2 linked regions of the Lepisosteus oculatus genome follow. The protein of the gene in region 1 purifies or fractionates together with the protein of each later gene. This does not show direct contact. Links are inferred from orthologs where the notes say so. Each region holds a gene or a part of one and is shown in the gene's direction. Other genes may lie near its edges.

What was found.
Region 2: the proteins of raf1b (region 1) and emerin-like purify together in Homo sapiens (affinity purification with mass spectrometry; 3 studies listed by BioGRID and IntAct, with this or other methods). This does not show direct contact. The link is inferred for Lepisosteus oculatus from reciprocal best matches to the Homo sapiens genes RAF1 and EMD.

Annotation. Positions count from the first base shown.
Region 1 is NC_090699.1:62,311,867-62,322,096, reverse strand, and holds the start of raf1b (RAF proto-oncogene serine/threonine-protein kinase), read left to right. Parts: upstream 1-5,065; 5' UTR 5,066-5,369; exon of another isoform or gene 5,370-5,543; 5' UTR 5,544-5,697; intron 5,698-10,230. UniProt on the Homo sapiens protein: Serine/threonine-protein kinase that acts as a regulatory link between the membrane-associated Ras GTPases and the MAPK/ERK cascade, and this critical regulatory link functions as a switch determining cell fate decisions including proliferation, differentiation, apoptosis, survival and oncogenic transformation.
Region 2 is NC_090697.1:66,885,324-66,896,052, reverse strand, and holds the start of emerin-like, read left to right. Parts: upstream 1-5,632; 5' UTR 5,633-5,788; intron 5,789-8,889; 5' UTR 8,890-8,918; coding exon 8,919-9,000; intron 9,001-9,993; coding exon 9,994-10,089; intron 10,090-10,729. Other genes in the region: flna (filamin-A), read left to right, coding at 102-320, 620-823, 1,471-1,658. UniProt on the Homo sapiens protein: Stabilizes and promotes the formation of a nuclear actin cortical network. Stimulates actin polymerization in vitro by binding and stabilizing the pointed end of growing filaments. Inhibits beta-catenin activity by preventing its accumulation in the nucleus.

The DNA of each region.
Region 1 (10,230 bases):
TGGAGCGGCTTTAGTTATTAAGATGCATGCTTTAACATCAGAGGATTTTAATAGTGGTGTACAAACAGACCACAATTATGAAATTAAGATGACGATTTATTACCTTAGAATGAAACTGCAATGAAGTTGCATGTCTCTGCAGAAGATACTTTTATGTTGTACTTCTGCAAGGTTTTTGATGACATGCATTTCCAATTCATTTTGTCTCTTTTCTAAAAATAGCTAGTTTTGTTAAAGTCAAGAAAAAGCTTTAATGGTAGTCTCAATGTCCAGAAAACAGCACCTGTGTCAACTGAATTATTACCATATGTACACTGATTTGAAAACAAACCCAAAAAAAATAGCAAAAGATGGTATATTGATTATATTTAGAAAGGAATGTTGCTGTATGATTATATAACAAGATCACACTAACTTCTTAAGAAAAAGAACACTTTGTGCAACAATAATTATTTTGTTTTAATTTTGACCATTTTTCCAGGAATGTGTAATTTGATAATAAATATGAATATATAGAAATTGTGTTTTGGGTAAAATAGAAAGGTCACTTCTGTTTTTAATGATAAAATACTGTATTTCACAATGGATATACTGTTTTAATATACTGCACAACAAATGACTACAAAACCATTTGGAGACTAAGAATAATTAGATTAAGAGAGAGAAAGAGTGGGCACTCTTTTATATATGAATTATCATTCAAAATATAGACCTGCAGTACATCCCATGTGGAGTCAGAGATACAGTATGAAAGTGTAGAATTTGAATCTAATATCATGATATATTAATTAGATTAGATTATGCTATTTAGTCTGCTTAAAAATAGTCTTTTCCAAACTCCCTAATAACATTTAACTATGATGCTAAATCATAGCTCGTGTTGGCAAAATTCTACCTTTGATTAAATTGTTAAGAATATTAAGAATAAAGACCGAAGACTGAAGAATAATATAATAAATGTTAACTTATATTCTATATTCATATTCCTCTGGATATAATCTCCAGTGAAATAACAGAGAGTTTGGAAAGGAATAAAGTAAGTGACACATTTTTTAGCTTTAATTTAAAACCTTTTGTTACGTGTAATCTTAATTTGTTTTACTGCACATACCTTAATGAGTCAACTAATCAACAATATCTTATGTACTAAGTACAGGTAAGATTACACACCAGAGAAAAAAGGCAAGATGTGTAAATACAAGAATTAAAAAATTTAACACTTGTACAATAGTCTTTTTCACAGCTCACATTTGTAACTTGGACAATATTTATAGTTTGCCTTTTTACTCATAATTCTTACAATATTGCTTTACCTTAACATATTTCATATACATTTTTGTTCATTTAAAGGTAATTTTTAAACCACAAACAGTGATGTAAGGAACATACTGTAGGTCACCATATTCAAAACACTTACCCAACCCCCATAGCTTTATAAACCCTTAAGTGTCCTTTAGTTCTTAGTTATATAAGGCATGAAATGTCTTGGTGTACAGGTGAGATGAACCTAGAATGCATTTCTAGGCCTATCAGCAGGCATCAGCACTAAATGTAGTTACCATCTGCAGGGAAGTCTTTTTAGATTTTGAACTTGCACTTTATTATTTCAGCCAGAGAGTGGCACTCTTTACTTTCTATGGGTTTATTCCTCTACTCTTTTAAAATATTGAGTTTTCAATACAGCTATTCTGGTCTTGTTTTATTTCCTCATATTAGACCAAAGGCAAATGTTAGATTCTTTACTCCATTGATCAATAGCTGACAGGTCACACAAAACTGATGGGAGCAGGGCTGAGTTAATTCGTTTTACTAAAAACCCTCCATAATGTATTGCTTTTTACAAAAAAAGAAGGTTTGTTTCATGTAATTGCACTACATGCCTTAAAAATAGACGACATTTACAAAGCACGTAAATTCAAAATGTATGACCTCCATTCAAAATCGATGCCATGCAATTGCTTTCTATTCATCTCATTGTGGTGCTTAGAGCTGTGTCATTTAATAAATGACCAAGAAATAATCCATTCACATTGTACAAGTTCACAGAGAATCATATGTGCTAGACAGTTCTGAAATAAGTTACAGCCTACTTGGATTACCTGGATCAAAATGGCTTAATGTTGCTTTTGATGGGTGCTTTTGGTTCAGATCAGAAAAATCTGAAATGTAGTGAAACTTGCAAAGCTTTGCAATGGCTAAAAAACACGAGAAGGAAATTCAGAGGGTTAGCCTAAGGTGCGGTTCATAGCTCTGAAATAAGAGAGGAAACAGCCTCCTAACGTCTGCACGTGCCCTCGTCAGCAGAAACTAAATATAGATGATTAGAGGGAACACAGAATTTTTAATATACATTTGTTAAGGGTTTGGTCAGTGAATTTAAACATAAAGGTTAACCAAAGCAAACCTTTTCTGTCAGCAAACATCCTTGAAACCTCTAAGGCATGCGTCGCACATACAGTAACAGCCTATTGCATATCTGATAACGTGCTACTGCATTTTACCCTTTAACGAATGGGAAGGCAGCCATGGGGAGATTAAGTCTGAAATTCTCTCATGAATTTTCCCAACTGCAAAAAATGATTTCTATCAAACCCATTAAAGTCAGAAGTAACGTGAAAACAAAGCCGGAGAAACTTACTGATTTTCTTTTGATGAAAAATAAATACAGCTCAGTGTCCCCACAAACTACAAAGCAGAGGAATACTTTTTATCCCACTTTTGAGTCCAGTTTTGCTATTGGAGTACTGGAGAATGAATTGTGACGCAAAGGCATTTAGGCTTCAAGTTGTGAGGTTTCTTCTATTCACTTTACTGTGTTGTGGTTGCAGGCCTGTTTGTAGCAGAAACTTCAGTTTTCATCTCTTTAGCTTTATTGTGGTTTGCTGATGACATTATATGACCCAGTTTCTGTCTTCTAGCAAAGCAAGACGGGGTAGGGTTAATCCCCCTTTCATAAAGCATGTCAGGAAATATGATTGGCAATTACCGTCTGTAAGAGAAAGGGTTTGCTTGTAGCCTTTTTAATTAGACGGAATGTAAAAATATTGAAAATAGCCTTAGAAATGGATCAGAGTTGAGTTGTAAGGAAATTATTTGTGTGCTGTGCCGAGGTTGATCTTTTTAAGCATTTACAGATTTGGGGATTTGTACGAAAGTAGCTCAACTGTTAGTTGTAAAGACATAACATATGAGCAGCATGCCAGCATTAACATTTAGGTCAAATTTCAGTGATTTTTCAGTGATTCGCTCTGGACAATGTACAGTTCATACAGCACTTCGGGGAAGATTCAGTTATGATTACTCAATCTTACACACCTTATAAAGAGGTATAGAATTTTGAAGATGAAGTTTTTGTGCAGTTAACCAGTTCCACTTAGTTCATACACAAGCTAAGATAACCTGTGCATCTTACGTTAATAAGATTACTGGATTTTACCTAGCTGCATTCTTTTATTTTTAAGATCAGTTATTACCACATATCAGAATCTGTACTGGGCAAAGCTGAAATGTGCACTTTGTTACGTAGGCTGAGATTACCAAGAGAATAATTGTTTGGCCAAGACAGAAAGCTGACAAGAACTTTTCCAATTAAAAATTTCCAGTATATGCTATTTGTCCAGCATATCACATCAGAATTACAGACGGACTTTTACAGAGACACTTTTGGTTGAATTTTAGTTCTCTGGAATGACAAAGAAGCTAAGATGACATGCCCATATCATGTAAATAAGTGCTGGGTAAAAGCAGGTAAACTACACAAGTGTTGTTTTCCAAACCTCTGTTTGATCTCCACCTTGTCAAGAGTGAGTCTCGTATCAAACATACAGTATCTGCAGTCAACAGGAACTGGAATGGTTGGCCTTTCAGAATTTCATGAGATTTTATTTTTTCCAAAACATTCTCTCACAAATGCTCTTGGAGGTACAAATGTATCTCCACTCTTTATTCAATATTTCCTAGTGAATCCGCTCACATACAGCAGTAACATTAGCTAGTTGAAAAATATCCCAAAACCTCATTGTTAATAATGTCACTGGCGCTGTTGGGAAAATGAATACTTGAAAAATGCCATTTCAAAATTCTGTTTTCATTGTTCAAACATCCGTGGATTGACAGTTGCTTTAAAAACAAAGCTGTAATTATATCACCTCATCACAGAGTTTCACTGAATGTAAAGCCAAGAAGCTAGTAGAAAAAAGACAACCATTGTTTATTTCTGGGCAAATCAATGATAAATGTTCACGTGATGTGAGCTGGTAAGAAAGAAAACCTGAAATAAAAAACAAAGTTTTGTTTGGATACTTTTCCTATCTCTTTTGATTTAATGAGCAACTTCAACAGAGGAAATTTACAGCATAGGGGAGGTGCCCAAAACTTCGAGCCTGCTGTAGCTTAGTGTTTCATCGATTTGTACATGAAAACTTTTAACTGTGATTTCATGGCAGTTAACAGAAAAATGTAAACCTGCTTTTTAGTTTTAATAGAGTAAGTGCCATACCAAATCAAAATATTTTCCATTCTACTTATATAATCATACTGCTTGCAAAAAATCCCATAATAACTGGTTTTATGGAAGAGATGATAGTTTCATGCACAACAGACAGTACTGAAAGAAGTGAAGACTGATGGCATACACAAAAATTCGTTTTCTTGCTTTCATTGCAAATAAAAAATAGCAACAATAACTCATTAAGAATTGTAGAAGAATACTTGTGCAGGTATTTGAATTTGAAATTTTGAATACTTTTGGAAAGAACTTTCTAAAAAAAACCCAGGGTACTCTGATGTATGATCAGCACATCAGAATCCATAATTAGACATGAAAATGAAGTCAAATAATATACCCGGCGATGTTTTTGCTTCTTCAAACAAAAGGTTAGCAGTGAGAGAACTCCCTCAATGTGTAACTGTAGTTATTCTGGGGAATGTGCTGCAGCTCTGTGTGAGTATTTTCAGTACTGCAAAACCTTTTCAGCTAGCTGTATTTTACCCCAGCGGTTAGTACCGCAAACTGAGCTCTAATGTAAGATTAATAGGACGCTCAAAGCGTACAGTGCCAAACCTTGTAACGTGAGGTACATGGCTGTAATTCTTGCTAGTCAAGACCCAGGGATCCAATTTCAGTTACTGGCGTCAAGCAGGCGCACTGGACTAACACAAAAACCTTAACCTTCTCAAAAGCGTCACGGAATGTGCAAATAGCGGCGTCTCTACTCAAAAATACAGATCGATGCACACAGCCTCCTGAAATGTATCTGGGAAAGGCACTTGGGCAGTGCCCATTGTGATTATCTGGTGATCAGAAAGTCCCATAGCAGTTAAATTGTTTTGGCTTTTTTTAGCTCACGTTCCCATGTGACACCCAGAAGGTGTGTATGTGGTTGCATTTATTTAAATCTATAAAGAAAGCAGTGTAATGGATCAAAGGCGAGGCTACGAAGAAAACCGAGCGAAACGCATTATAATCGTAAAATTCAACTAAAAGACGAAGAAAAAAAAAGGGGGGAAAAAAAAACACCGTGGCACTTTTTTTTTTCTTCCAGTGACCTCCCACACGATCAGTTTAATCTGGAGGACTGATCAAAACAGTTGGCTACACTAGCTCTTTTCTGCTGTGAATGTGCAGCTATGATGATGATGTCACCGAGTCTCCACTTTTTCTTCTAGTTATGGCGGAGCCGAAGTTTTCAAACTTGGGTAAGTTTTACCAGTGGCTGCATTACAACGTCTTGTTTCGTTTGACTTGGTGCTTTGCCTTTGTGAAAGCTGCGATCTAAACAGTTCGCCCTGTTAGCCTGCGAAATGTTAGCCGAATAGGTTTCAGTATTAATGCAAAACGTCGGTGTTTTGTTACGCGCTGCGAGTTTGGATCGGTCAGAGATGGGCCGTTGGTTCGGTGGGGGGGTAACGAAATTAGTTACGTTGTTTCGTTTTCATCTTTATAATACCCTACGGCAGAACAAAGCCCACAAAAGCTGAGGCGTCGTGAAACACTGGCGGAGACATTGTATTCCAGAATCTTAATGTGTTCAATAGAATGAAAAAAAAATCTTCAGTTCCCAATTTAATGAAGGGAGTTCTGAAAGAAACGCTTGTTTTTATCCCATTGTTGTGTTAAAGTATTTTACTTTTGTGTTGCCTGGTAGTTCGGAAAATGAATTATCGAAGCCCTGAACGTGACCGTCAGGCTTGTAATGTGCTATCAGTGGGAAACTGAAAAATTCACATTGCTTTGCAATTGGAGAGTTTGTGGAAAAACGTTTTAATCAGGTTATTCTCGTTGTTGTGCATTATATAGGCTAACATATTTTAAGAAACATCATTATGTGCAACGCCAACAGCAATCACTTCAAGAAATTCAAATGAAAGTTATACCGTGTTTACTATTTGTCTCACTTCAAATGTAACTTTAATGAAGTTTACGGAAAACACAAACTAGAATAAATTCCCTTTTTCGAAATGTGCTTTTTTATTAACTTCTTGTTTTAAGAACAAATCGTATTTCTACATTAGAGTGCCACACACGATCTTTATATTTTTTTTCTGTTAAAGTAGAGTGCAAATGAATATTATATTTGTGCTTGGATTCACAGTCATGATGCTGTTAACCTTGTGAAGTTGAAGATACAGTGAAATCTAGTAATTAGTGGAGAATTTAAAGAGACAGTGTCGCTTGATTCATGCGAGAGATTCATAAACACATCATTTACGATTATGTTTAATAATAAGGTGATGTCTGGGTAACTGACCACTTCAAAGAATAAGTATGTTGTTTTGAGTTTTTAGGCAAGTACAAAACGTTGATGATACATTTGGTATTTAATCGGAGAACATCAGTGATTTAGGAGGTTGTTCACAGTAAACGTTGATCGCAATGTGTAAAAACAAAATAAAAATAGAATAATACAATTTTGAAATGTAATTTCCCTGCTTTTCCAGACGTTCTTAGCAGAGTGCAAGAGAAGATAATATTATTTTCATACTTTATCTGGAATAGTTGTCTCTGTAATTTTAGACTACAATACCACAGAAAATTGAATTTGTCTGAAGTGGCTTATTGCTGTTCAGAAACTATTTGGTCACATTGTGGGTTTTGTGCTGGCTGGTGATTTGATCTGGTTTCTCAAACGTAGGGGGTTGTTATAAATGTATTGAGGTTTTATCTTCGATGTTATGATCGTTTGAAATGCTTTTTTAGGTTTGGTCTGTTGTGTATTGTTGTACAGATATTGTTGTATTGACTTGTTTCAAGTGGAATGTAAAAGTGCAAATAGCTTTGCCTTCCCTTTGCAAAATACTCTGCTACTGCAACAAATCGTGCCGTGTGAACTCTATTTCAGTGGCTGGATGCCTCCGTTCTTTAGCTTCAAGTTCATGGCTGGGCTTTGTCTTCTTTAGTTGTGAAAGGCTGTGCAGTGTTATCAACACTACCCATAACTACAGATGCACAGGTGGCTCCATGCTTTGTCTCTTTCTGTGCTACTCATCTCAATATTGTTAGCCTCAGTGGACAATTTCGCCAATAAGTTGTACTCTTGTGTGTGTCTGTTCTGCCTCAGAGGTCAGGTGTAGGTGAAAAGAAACCACAGTCAATCCATATAAGATGATCGTGATCTGAAGGGGTGTTATATAGCCCAAATGTGAGTACTGTGTTTGAATTCTCAGAGTATGTTAATCTCACCTAAGAATATGTAAATGTTACATATGTTGTCAAAAAGTTGTGGCCTACTGTTTGGTGGTTTTAAATGTTTTATGGCCTGTAAAAGCTCTTCAAAAGCTATCAGTTAATAAAAGGTGCTTGCAATTGGCAATTTGTTTGTTATCATTGAAAATGCACCAGCCTCAGAGAGTTTAAATGCTTGGTTTTAAGACATTCGCACACAGCTGAATTTGTGTGAGCCCATGTTTTAGTATCTGGAGGTGATGGAGAGTTAATGCATTTTCTCTAATGATTTTATTTGAAAAGGTGTGTAAAAATTCAACTGTGAAATGCTGAGCAGTAGGCCTAATAATCTCTTTGTTATTTTAGGTTCTCTCTTACTTTCACTGGCTTCATTTTTTCTTTGGTTCAAGTCGTGGAAACAGTGGACAACAGTCAGGAAACAAATTTCAGAAGCATAGCATGACACAAGGATAAAATGAGCTCCTATTCAGACACATGTAGCTAAATATTTTCTTAGATGTTTCTGTTGTAAAGCGCATAGGAACATAAATGTGATTATCGTTACCTATACTGAATTTCGTTTTAGGAAATGCAATCCTTTTAGAATTAATTGCTCTGCAGCTGCAGCGCAAGGTGTTGAGGACAAGTCCATGCATGTCATGCATGTGTGGTAAAATGTGGCGTTAAAATGGCTCTATTGATAAGGAAGGCTCTAGATAACCTAATTGTTTCATAGCCTAGTAAGTTTCAGAAACATCAATGTATATACTTGAGGTACTGAGCAAACTTACCAACCCTTCCCTACTCCCAAACCCAGCCCTGAAATGATTAAGGCTAGTTGCATTGAGCACCTTAAGTTAAATGCTTGCTTAACTTTCTCCTCAAGTGCTCTGTGAATTTAGAGGTGTTGTACAAAGCAGCTGAACACACTGATGTTACTTCCCTAGTTAACAAGAAACAATCCATGTTTAAGACTTAAGATGTATGTTTTTTTATTGTGTTTTATACAACCTGGTTCTGGTTCTGTTATGGTACCTTGTATCTGCTTTTGAATTAGCTTTTTTAAATGTTGAATAATTGATGATATCTTCTACAGAAGTGAAATTTAATCCTAAAATAACTTCCCTCTTCTTGAAATTAGCTGTTTAACTCTGGAGTTATGTCTTAACTGTTTGGTAATAAGTAGGTGTCTCATTCCAAGGTTCTCTGGGGCTGGTCTCCGTTTTCCCATTTGTATCTACTGTACATATGTGTAGTGCGTGGTCAGGGAGGTTTATTAAATAGTTGCATCTAATATCTTTCTGGATCTCATCAAAAGCCGGATTCTGATGATGCAGAATTTGTAATTTAGTATAAGAGCTGATCTGAATGAAAGACAGTGCTGCTCAAGGTGTCACTGATGTTAAGTATTGTACGTATGTACTGTACCTACTTCCCCATGTCTTGAAGGATATAAGTAGTTCCAATTAGGCTGAAAATGTTGTGATTTTGCCCTCAGATCTGTGAACACTGGCTTGATCACAGCAGGTTCCATTAATTCCTTTCTTGAAAAAATCACTGCCATGCTTTAGGATGTTTATACACAGCCCGCTTAATCACAACACAAAAGCATGAATTAGATACATGTGAACAGTAGGCTGTCAGTTACTTTGAGACACTTCTATTTTTTTTGTTTGGTTGGTGTTGTCAATAATATACCAACTGTTTACTTCCAGAATTATAAAATGTATCCCTAATAGCTTGGTTTACTATATGCTAATAGTTTTAGATCTACAATCTTACATCATGTCCACACAGGAGACAGTTAGATTTAAAATGCATATGCATACCGTTTGTGCCTTGCTGATAAGGCTCGACACGAGCCAGTGTGCTTGAGAGTTTTGTCTGCCTGTCTGGCTATGGGGTTTGGCACATACTGTACTGTTAAAGGACATGTTTGTGTGTGTGGTTTATGCTTTCAGACTGTTCGTGCTGTCTTTCTATTTGAAAATAAAGACATAGAGGTCGTGCATGATTTTTATTCTACACGGCGCATGAATACTGAAAAGTCACTTTTTTTTGTGTATTGCCTTGCTGTTAGAGTGTATAAGCATACACTGTGCATATGATATTTGCTGTACATTGCTTGATTCTTCTTGCATACAGTTGGGATGGTTTTATTTCTGCAGCAAGTTCTTCTTTTCACTTCTTCTTTGAAATAAACATTTGAGTCTGTTAAAAATGTCAATTGTTCAAAAGACAAAGTGCTTTGGGGGTTTCCATTACACCTACAGACTGTGTGAAAGAAACGTTCCAGCTGAGCCTTAGAACCTAAGCAAATGCCAACTGGGTTCACATTTGTCCTACTTTTCATAGACAATGAAAGCTAAGATTCATAAACGGTGTCCTACCATGAATTGTGTGATGTGTGACACCACTTTGCATTCTCTAAGAGAAGCTGTATTGGAAGCTGAAAATGTGTGAAGTTTTTGGGCAATGTGTACCAGAAACCTGTCAAAGCCACCATTAGATACTGTAAGTTGTGAAATTTCTTCAGGACTTCTGCTACTCTCTACTTTTCCTGTTTG
Region 2 (10,729 bases), on another chromosome or scaffold:
AATTGATTTTATTATTTAATGATTCTCAGTGAGGCATGAGCAAATTACTGCTGAGTTGCAGGAAGTGTTTTGGATCTTTACTTACTCTTCTGGTTTTCCAGGCTCTCCATGTGAATTCATTGTGAACACAAGTTCAGCTGGCCCTGGAGCCCTTGCTGTCACCATAGATGGGCCATCCAAGGTCAAGATGGACTGCCAGGAGTGTCCTGAAGGCTACAAAGTCATATACACACCAATGGCCCCTGGGAACTACCTGATCTCCATCAAGTATGGTGGCCCCTACCACATTGTAGGAAGTCCCTACAAAGCCAAGATCACTGGTAAGATGGCATTACATAAAGCTGGACCAGAAGTAGGTGGGGGTGTGATCACTTTGGATTTAGCACTTATTCCTGTGACTGGCCAGTTTCTTAATGAAAACTGGAAGCTAGGCATTTACAAAATCCATGACGCAAATTAATTGTGAAAGTGAAAAAGTCAACTGGCGAAACTGTTAGGGGTAGAATTGAAGCATGTTAACTTTTTTTTAACTTGTGCACCCTGGTGAGAAACCCCATTTAGACAAATGTTTAATGCTATTGGACAAACCTGAGTTTTACAGCCAAGTTCTTTTCTGTAGGCCCCCGGTTAGTGAGCAGTCACAGCCTCCATGAGACGTCTTCCGTCCTCGTTGATCCCATTTCTCGGAGTTCAGCCACCATGCAGCAGGGGGCGCCAGCCTGGGCCTCTTCGGATGCCAGCCATGTTGTTGCCAAGGGGCTAGGCCTTACTAAAGGCTTTGTGGGCCAGAAGAACAGCTTCAGTGTGGACTGTAGCAAAGCAGGTATGCCTCTGTGTATTTCTTAAAATTCATGTCTTGTGAAAGTGGTACAAAAACTTTCTGTAACAATTAAAGATAATGATTTATAGCTAAGATGTATCAAGTGCTTCTACAAAATGCTATAGCATGCCAATTGGGGGCAAAAATGGTTTTGAAGTTTAGCTTTGTTTTAAAATTATTTGACTTCCATAAAATCAAAGTTTATCAAATGCACAACAATACAGCATGCAGCAGTGGTTGCTGGCAATGAGATGTCTGTTCTGCAAGCTCACAAGAATCACAAAAACCTTAAAGTTTGAGATTTGTGTTATCTTATTTAATTCAGAAGTTAAATTGGTCTGTAATGTTGCGCAAATTGCCCTTTATCTGAAGAAATGTAAAAAGTCTTCAATTCTGAAAAGACCTTCCATGATTTCAATACTGACCCCTTAAATCTTTTTTTAAAATAGAATACCTAGCCAACATGGGACAGAACTGTTTTTTCCACACAGAAGTCTGGGGTGGTGAGCTAACTGCTGCTTGCAGGACAGTACTTTTCCACAGAATAGAGACACTCATTTTCAGGGCAAACAGTATGAGCCACACTTGTCTGAGAACGATACTCATGATTTGTAAAATGTTGCACTATTAATATCTTTATGGTTCAACAGGCAGGAACATGCTGCTGGTGGGAGTGGACGGTCCCAAGGTGCCTTGTGAGGAGATTCTGGTCAAGCACCTGGGTAACCGCCTGTACAACGTGAGCTACCAGTTGAAAGAGAAAGGCGACTACATTCTGGTTGTGAAATGGGGTGATGAGCATATTCCTGGCAGCCCTTTCCACATCTCTGTGCCCTAAAGTCTCCTCCTGCCCCCTTTCCCTCCCTGCTTACAGAGGATAATGCACACTGTGCCCTTAACCTCTCCTCCTCCCATTATTTTTGAAAAGCAAGCACCTTCACTCTAAATCGAAATCATGACCTTCTATTCTTGTTGCAGCAAAGCCTAAACAAAACCAGAAGTTTGTTCTTTATGCTTAGTGCTATGGATTTTTTTTTTTGATGGTTACCTGTTTTTGGATTTATGCCCAGGATGGTAGTATAGCTGCTAATTTGTCTTAATAGAATAGCTAACCCTGTTGTAGGCACTATTCTAGTTCTGAAGTGACTGTCCATCCTACATTTATAGACCTTTTCCTGAGTGTTCAGAATCGAACTGGATTCCCACTGGAGGAAAAGGCAAGTCAGATTTTGAACCTCTAGGACACTTAACTAATATTACAACTGTTAACAGAATCGTCGTCAAAGTACTCTTTACCTTAGAGACCGTCTGCAGATGTTAAAGGGAATAGTCTAAATTCTTAAAGATATTGCTAAATTAAAATTGAGAGAATAGAAGATGTCAATGAGAGTAATGTACAGTAGTATGTTAGGAGTTAGGTGGTTATATGGTGGTTGAAGACTTGACACTTTTCCAGTTTGATGCTTTTTGTGAACAAACATGGTTGTGATATGCAACAAAAGGTCACTGTCACTTTCCCCTTACACTTTTTGTACTTTTTGTCCAGAATATTCAATGTCTTTTGAAAGAAAATGTACTTTTGAGGAAATAAGCCTTTAAGAATGTTAGACTGTTACAGTATTTTGATACACAAAGTTGTCTTAAATTTTTACTGTTTACCATTAAACTTGAAAATGGCTTATTGGTTTTCGTTTCTTTTATTTTGTGGCGGAGCTTAAACAAGATGGTATTCTGAAAGATTTGAATGTGCAGATTTTTCTGGCTATCCAATGAGGAAGCTGGATTTTAATATACTCTGCCTTTTCAGATTGAATCTTGTTTATAATGCCAGTTCAATCAGATTTTTTTTATTCAAAATTGATTTGTCATTCTGTAACTTTGGTATTTGAGAAATAAGCCCAGCTGAAAAGTCTTTCCCAAATTCCTTTACTGTTTTCCATGGTTGCTTCCATCCACAGTTCTGAGCTCCTGCAAAGGATCTCAATTTTAACAGTGCTCTAATGTTCTACATTTTAAAACCCATGTCAAACTTTAAAAAGCACAGAAGCTAATTTTCAGAATGTTGCGACAATGGTGTACCAACAGTTACCACTGCCTACAAGGAATGATCTTCAATTTCTTCCATTGAAAACTTCAGATTTAAGGTTATTTATACACTTGAGTGTCTGTCGGCTTCTATGATGGTCTTAACTGTGCAAAAGGGGGGACAAAGCTTTTGCTTTCGAGTTATCCTGATTATCTTTCTCATTTCTTAACTTGCACATCAGCCGTTTTTAGCCTTCCAAATGATCAGTTGTTCTTTAATAAAATTATGCTTTAATACAAGCTTGTGTCCAAGTCTGTTTTTTTTAATTAGGGCTATAAGAGCCCAGTTTTGGCTGCATTTCAAATTTTGGTTTGTAGAGTTCTGATGGATACTTATGGGGGTGGTATGAATTCAGTGCTGCCCTCTATTGCAATATACTGTAGATCCTTAATGTAGATGGTTCTATGTTCAGATTGCTAATATGACACCATTTAGTTATTCTGCACACAGGGATAAAGATGATCCTGGAATTTTTGTTAATACCTTAAACACTTATTTTCCCTGGGAATCGGTTTGCCATTTAAAGCTTTAAATATGGGTTACATAAACAGGCTTTCTACTTTATTTGCAGGTTGTAGCTTACACATCATAGGATTGTATAATGTATTGCTCAAAGAGGGGCAGGTATTGTAACTAGCAGTAAGTCGGTTACATTAGCTTAGTCTTCACATGCACATGTACTCATTTTTAATTAAAAAAAGGGTTAAATTTTCCTCTTCATGCATCCTTAATCGGTGTTAATTAAAGGATCTTTGAAGTCTGGATCTTTCTTCTAAACGTTGTGCCTTCACTGCTGTGGATTTGATAATGCCAAGTCTTAATCACTGCATAAGGTCTTCAACCTTGGTACTGGAGAACCAATCCAAGTTGTTTACTAGGCCACCAGTTTTTATAAATTTGACATTTGAGAGCTATGGATGAATCTTGCAAGTAATCTGTACTATTAAGTGAACTTGGGTGCTTGAGTGGTGTAAAGTACTTGGATATTAATTAAGGAATTGGAAGTTTTAAAAATCACCTGTTTAATTGATCAGAATGAGTTTGTTCTGTAGCTTGAGATATGGCTAATTTAAATTTTAAAGGTGACCTATGCTATCTGATGGATTGGGGCTCTCTAGGACCAGGTATAATGGGTACCTTAATATGAATTTGAACACTGGTCTCAAACCCAATTCCTCAAGGACCTACCATCTTCTGGTCTCACACACAGGTGAAGGTAGCTGTAGCTTTAATGTAAATGGTACACCAAATTTTAGACAATTGCACACAATCTAATCTACTTCATATTTGCACATGTAAATACTTAGAATATGCACAGCACAGTTCTGTAATCTCCAGGTGAACATTGCCCTCAACCTTCTTCACATATGTGCTCAGCCAGTGCTTACCTATACATCTTTGGGAATATTTTATAAATTCTTTAGGGAATATGTTTAGGAATGTGAGTGTAGTTGAGGCACAGTGCATGACTGCTCCTTTTGACACCAGCTTTTGCTGTTGGGACTACCTGCTGCTACAATACTCACCCTGTTAAGATAATGAATGTGAGACCTTAACCAGCCATGCAGAAACTTCACATGGAAAGAAGTATGACAAGGCCATATTTAATGAATGCCAAAACTGTTTTTTTTCCCTCTGGGTGTGAACATTTCTCTTTCCTTTTAATTACTCCCCCCTTTAAGTATTGGAGATCCCATTCTTTGCATTTGTTGTATTTCTGAATGTTTGGGACACCCAACAGGAACATTCAACCACCCAGAGGTACTGAACTCAGATTGGTAGTGGTCTGTAGGCATTAGCTGTTTTTACTGTTACCCTAATGTGGGTAAAGACTAAAAATACACAACTGGTACAAATCCGATGGGTATGAAAATAACTTGAATACTAATAATTCAGGAGATCTGTCAGTGTTGATTATGTGGGTGTAGTGAGCCTGTACATAGGTGCTTGGTACAGTATCTCCCATCAATCTACTGAATTGTTAAAGCATATGAATTAAGCTCTTACAATTCAGTTTATGCAAGTAATGTGTTATGGGTTGTAAAACTTCACAATCATGTTATTTGCTTGAACAGCAAATAAGGCATACAGTAAAATGGGTTTCAGGTATTTTGTGAGACCTTCACCTTGGATCCTCAGAATTTGTACTTTTAGTCATGTAAATTAACCAATGTTTATATCATTATGAGCTTATCACTGACATCCATAAGGGCCACTAAACCACAAACCAGAAAACAAGGTGAAACTCCAATGGGGATGTACAGTACTTTTAAAAGTAAGAACAGTAGTCACACTTTTACCCAAACGGTTGTGTGCGTATGAAACATGCTGAACAGCTATGTTGCGGAAGCCGATACCTTGGTAGTGTTCGTACAGTAGGTGTATTTTTTTCGTTCAAGCTAAATCTAATGATAAACACACTGGGTATATTATTTTTTTCTTACCTATGCAGTGAGTTGGAGTTCCAGACAGAGGGCGTATTGAAGTAGCTCAGCAGTGGATTGCACCAGATTTGAAATACCAAAAAAAGCGGGAATACAGTACATCGGTTTTACAACCAACGCCCTAGTTTCTTCACCCAATTCACAGCTGGAGGAGAAAAAAAAAAGCTCTGGAAATTTTCGTTTTTCCTTATTAGGGTAACAACGAATTGCACTTCACTCTATTGTAACAGGCGAGGGCGCCAGTGAGACGCTCCTCGTTGACGCAGCAAACTGTGGGCCGCAATCACATGCAGTCGAGAGACGTTCACCATTGGAGCTACGGAGAAAGAGCAGCTTCCGATACAGAGCTTTCGTTTTTCAAAAAGGAGAGGTGACATTACTCGGGAATTCGCTGTTACAGAAAGAGTAGTTATTTGCTTATTGCTCTTTGTCCTGAAGGTAAGATGCCTTTTTTTCAAATAAGATCCTTTAGCCTTGTTTCTCTGGGGAGCAGAGAGAGGTGTGTGCTGCGAGAAACGTGTCCCTGCATTAGTTTAATAGAAATCAATTGCCGTTTGCTTCGCGGACCTCCCATTTTATTTTTTTAAATATGAACAACGCCCTGTCGCTGTAACGTAGTTAGCTGGATTTGCAACACTTATGAGCTGACGTATATTTCTGAATATATTTCTACTTGGTAAATCACAAGTTAAGTTTTGGAGTTAGCGTATTATTGAGGCACATGGCGTCTTTGCGAAGTGATGCCCTGTATTCTAGCCATGAATGTCCTCAAACGAAGTCGTTTTGATTTTATGGGCAGTCGCTTGTGTAAAAGAAGTGGTCTCATTCTAAAGTTTTTTGTCCTTGTGCATACGATGCGTGAATTGAATGCACTTTGTTTTGCTTGTTCTGTTATTATTTTACAACATTTCAACAACTATTCATACAGTGTGTGTTGTTTTGTACTGTATATGTATAGGTTTTATTTCGTAATCTGTAATCCCCATTCATTTTTTCTTAACGATCACCACGAAAGGTTGGTATATCATTTTGTCCTAAAACTAACTTTTAGTTTTGACACCTTTAAAGTTAAAGATTTAACTCGTTTGTCTCCTTTTTCGTCTGGAACACACTAAAAGAACTGTTGTTTGAATCACATGAACACATGAAATTATCTACTGCTGCTTAAATCGTACAAACATGGCTCATTTTAGTTATTGTACTATATACTAGTAATGATGATATATCCATTCACGGGGGGAATGCTCATTGTTTAATTTTAGTTTGTTACAATACATTGTTTATATAAACCTCGGACCTTAGAGAAAGATAAAACTGAAGTTCACATTACCATAGCTCAACCATTTAGTTGAAGTGAAACTGGAAAGAGATTGTTGATGAAAATATTATTCAACAATATAGCCTATAGGGATTAGATTGTGGAAATAATCTTCCGACACATATACCTTACATGGAAATTATGAGAAGAGCAGGCGATATCGTGTGGACATGAATTTATAAAGCTTCGGTTTTGGGATTGTAGTTCATTCCAGAAACAACCCGTGATTTGTAAAAGCTCCGTTTTCGGATAATCGCAGGTTACACTCTTTCACTGAAAGCAGACTCTTTGGTCTCTCGGAAGAATGTACCAAATTACAAGCAACAACCACAGCCTTACCTGGTTTATTTAAGAGTGAACTTAGTAAGATAATAATAAGATATACAATATTTAGTTAAACTGTGAATGCGTTTTAAACCGATAAGTTGCAGTATTATTTTAAACTGACTGATTCAGACATTGTTTGTCCTGTATATCATGACACATTAAAACTGATGTTGAATCCTTTTTTGCAGTGATGTTATCTTTAAATCTGTGTGTATCTTATTTTTCCAGAGGCTTGAATGTCAAGGCCCATTAAGCAAGAATAATAGTCATTATTGATTATTTTCTAACATGACCACACTGATCCGTGTTACCTATACATTTTAACAGGCTAAATACGGTGAGGTTACAAGGCGGAGATATGGATCTTTTCATTTGCTTTCTCCATAAAACAAGTCATAATTTATTTCCTTTTTTCTTTCTTTTGTTTATCCTGTAAGCAAATCATCAATCATCTTAACCAGAGCCTTGTCAGTACCATACAATAGCCTAAGTCAGGGTTCTCCAAACCAGGTCCTTGAGAGCCCCAATCCAGCAATTGTTGTACTGTAGTTTACTATTAAAGCAATTTCTAAAGATATGAAACAATTCCACTGTGGTCAGTTCAACGGTCAATTTGTGAAACTATGTAGAGTTCATTTATGCCTAGACTTTATGTAGTGTTCAGCCCTGGAGGACTGCAATGCTATTTTTATATTTCCAGGAAAGACTCAGCATTGATGAGTGCATTTCAAACCATGATGAAAGTAAAATGTACACAGCAATGTGTAAAACTTCCTATTTACATTGAAAAAAAATAGAAATTTCCAGGTATGTGCAGCGCTAAGTTCTGCGATTTAGAAAGAGACAACAAAACTTCTGGTGAGGTGAAGTGGCCATATTACATTGTAAAGATGCAGACTATTGAATGCATCTCTTTTAATCCAATAGAAATATTGCTCTCGATTTCCAGATTATTTTGGCGCAAGAATACTACTTGTTAACTGCGTGCAGATCACGTTGGAACAGTTCTGCGCTGAAATGACTGCGGCACAACCTGTAATTAATTGGTCCTACGTTGCATTATATATAGGAAGCATGAAGGTCTGCACCACGTCACAGTTTGTACAAACTCTCTCTCTTGGCCGTGGCAAGACCAGGAGTTTGCTACGAAATGGTGACTTTACAGTACTTTCACAAAGTTCACCATTTTGTGCTTAACTCGGAATTTGTAAAATTTTGCAATACCTTCTATTTGTTCATGTTACTGAGATTTTAAAACCAGTATGAGGAATTGGGACTGCAGTTCTCCTTTAAAAACAGATGACCTATAAGACTACAGGAGCTGGTGTGAGGCTCTCCAAGACTAGGGCTCTAGAGTTCTGGCCTAAAGTCATGTAAATTTAAAGAAGGCCAGCCAGATTATATGCTATATTTGTGTTGGAGGAGAGCACAAGTGGAGCAGACTGAAAATTTGAAGGCAAGAGAGGGAAGCATGAGGAGAACAGACTTGGAAATAAAAAGCAACAGAGTTGGGCGGGAGTAAAGAGCATCTGATCCCTGGGCAGTCTTGTGTGCCCACTGTGCTCTGCCATACAGGAGACCCCAGTGTGACTGACATTCAGCTCATACACTTGGAGGAACAGCAGCTGTTACTGGGTGTGCCCATAAATGCTACACAAAGATGTCTGGGGTATGATTTTGATACGTGGCTTTTTCAAAGTAAGCAATGGGTAAAAACCCAGCTAAAGAAAATCAGAGCTTAAAATATGACTGTCCAAGTTTTAAACATCTCAGCATCTGCATATTCTGCTGTTGTCAGTGTTGCAAAATGGTGACTAGCGTCCCAGTGTCCTAGAAACACAAATCTGGTCACCTACCCCTTCAGTGTATAATATCTCTTTTTTCTTTTTTCCAGGCATCTGAGAGCATTGCTTCCTGACAGACATGACCAAACTCAGCAGCAAGTCCGATCAAGAAATCATTGATCTTCTGGACCAGTATGGACTGAAACATGGACCCATAGTGGGTATGTTTCCCTAGATCTCACAAACCAGCAGACGATTTCTGTCATTTAGATATATTAAGTTATTTAAATTCAGCTAAGTTGTGTGACAAAATCTTTGCCTTGGGGCATAGGTTTTTGTATAGACTCCACACAAAACCATTCTCACTTCCAGCAAAGCTCCTTTATCACCCAGTGGCCCCGAATTAAATTTTGGTTTTACCACGGCACTTAACTGTTGATATCATGATCTCCAGAACTCACATCCAACTTATTTCCAATCTTATGAAAGATCTGCAGGAAGATGTATTTTGAATGAAGAGGACAGATTGTAATGACAGAGTATGCCGCATACGTACTGTAACTAGAATAATTTACCTCTTAACTGCACAACCACTGAAAAAAGACCATACAGCACCACTACAATTAAGCCAAAAACCTTGAAAATTGTAGAACAAATTCAAAATGGTACATATTGGTAGTATGTAGCTATTATTACCGTTACCATATTATACTATTATTGCTGATAAGTGTATATTGCAGTTTCCCAGTAAAGCAGTTCACACAGAGCTCTCTAAATATCATTTTCAGATGTGCACTATTTAAGAATTTATTTTGTTTCCGTATTACCAGAAAACCTTTGAAAGGTTGTGGAAATCTGAGTTGGTCCAGACACTTACAGTCACTGTAAGAAGTTTCAAAGCCGTGTCATTGTGTCTGGTACCTTGAAATAACGGCAAATTTTTAGTATGATAGATATCTGTTATTTAAATTAAAATGTTTTTGGACATATTTTTTCCACTTATGGTTTCGATCACCCGATTCTGAGAAATGATTAGTAAAATGTGAAAGGCAGTAATTTAGGGTACCCTGTTTTTTGGAGACCGCCCCCAGCATTGCTTTGAGGACTTTCCAGAATTCCCAGACCTCAAGTAACGACTTGCTGACCTGTTCAGTGTTTTCTCAGAGTGCTTCTGCTTGGTGCTTCTGCTGGGTAAATGTCTTGTCTTTCTACAGATTCCACCAGAGGTTTGTATGAGAAGAAGCTGGAGGATGTCATGGCCAAAGATAAAGTGAAGACCTCCTCAGACAAAACCTTCTACAGAGAGGAAAGTAAGTATGCGATGATGGCTGTAGTGGGTTTGAAGAACAGGTGCTGCAGACTGAACCAGAGAACCAGGGGTGGGACGTTTGTTGTTGAAGCAGGCCATCTTGTGCTGGATACCAAAAACATGTCGTGTGTGGGTCCTCACAGTGCATTGCTTTTAAATCCATGATGTGTGGGCATTACTTTTAAATCCACACTACTGTTTAGGCACGTAAATAAGAGTAAATCTCAGGTGTGTTATGTTTGTACCAGAGACACAATTGAATTCAAGCCTGCTTACTCCTTTGTAAAACGTAAAAGCAGTAATGTAGACTTGTACCGATTTGGGTCTTCTTCTGTTAGTGCACTGAATTACTAAAAAGTAAAGCATAATAAAAATTAAAATAAAGCACTATGTAAGTGTATGATTATTATTATCGTTGTTATAAAGATAGCACCTGTGCCATGGGTCAGGAAACAGTCTAAATATAGTATAATTCTGCCATCAGTAAAGAGTGATCTCGTTTGTTGAGTATTATTATTGTAGGTGCTATGTGACCTACACAAAAATAAGAGTGAAAATAGTAAATTGATAGAATTCAAGATCTATTCTGGAGACTAGCATCTAGAATTGAGTATGTGCAATATAAATTAGCTAACCTGACA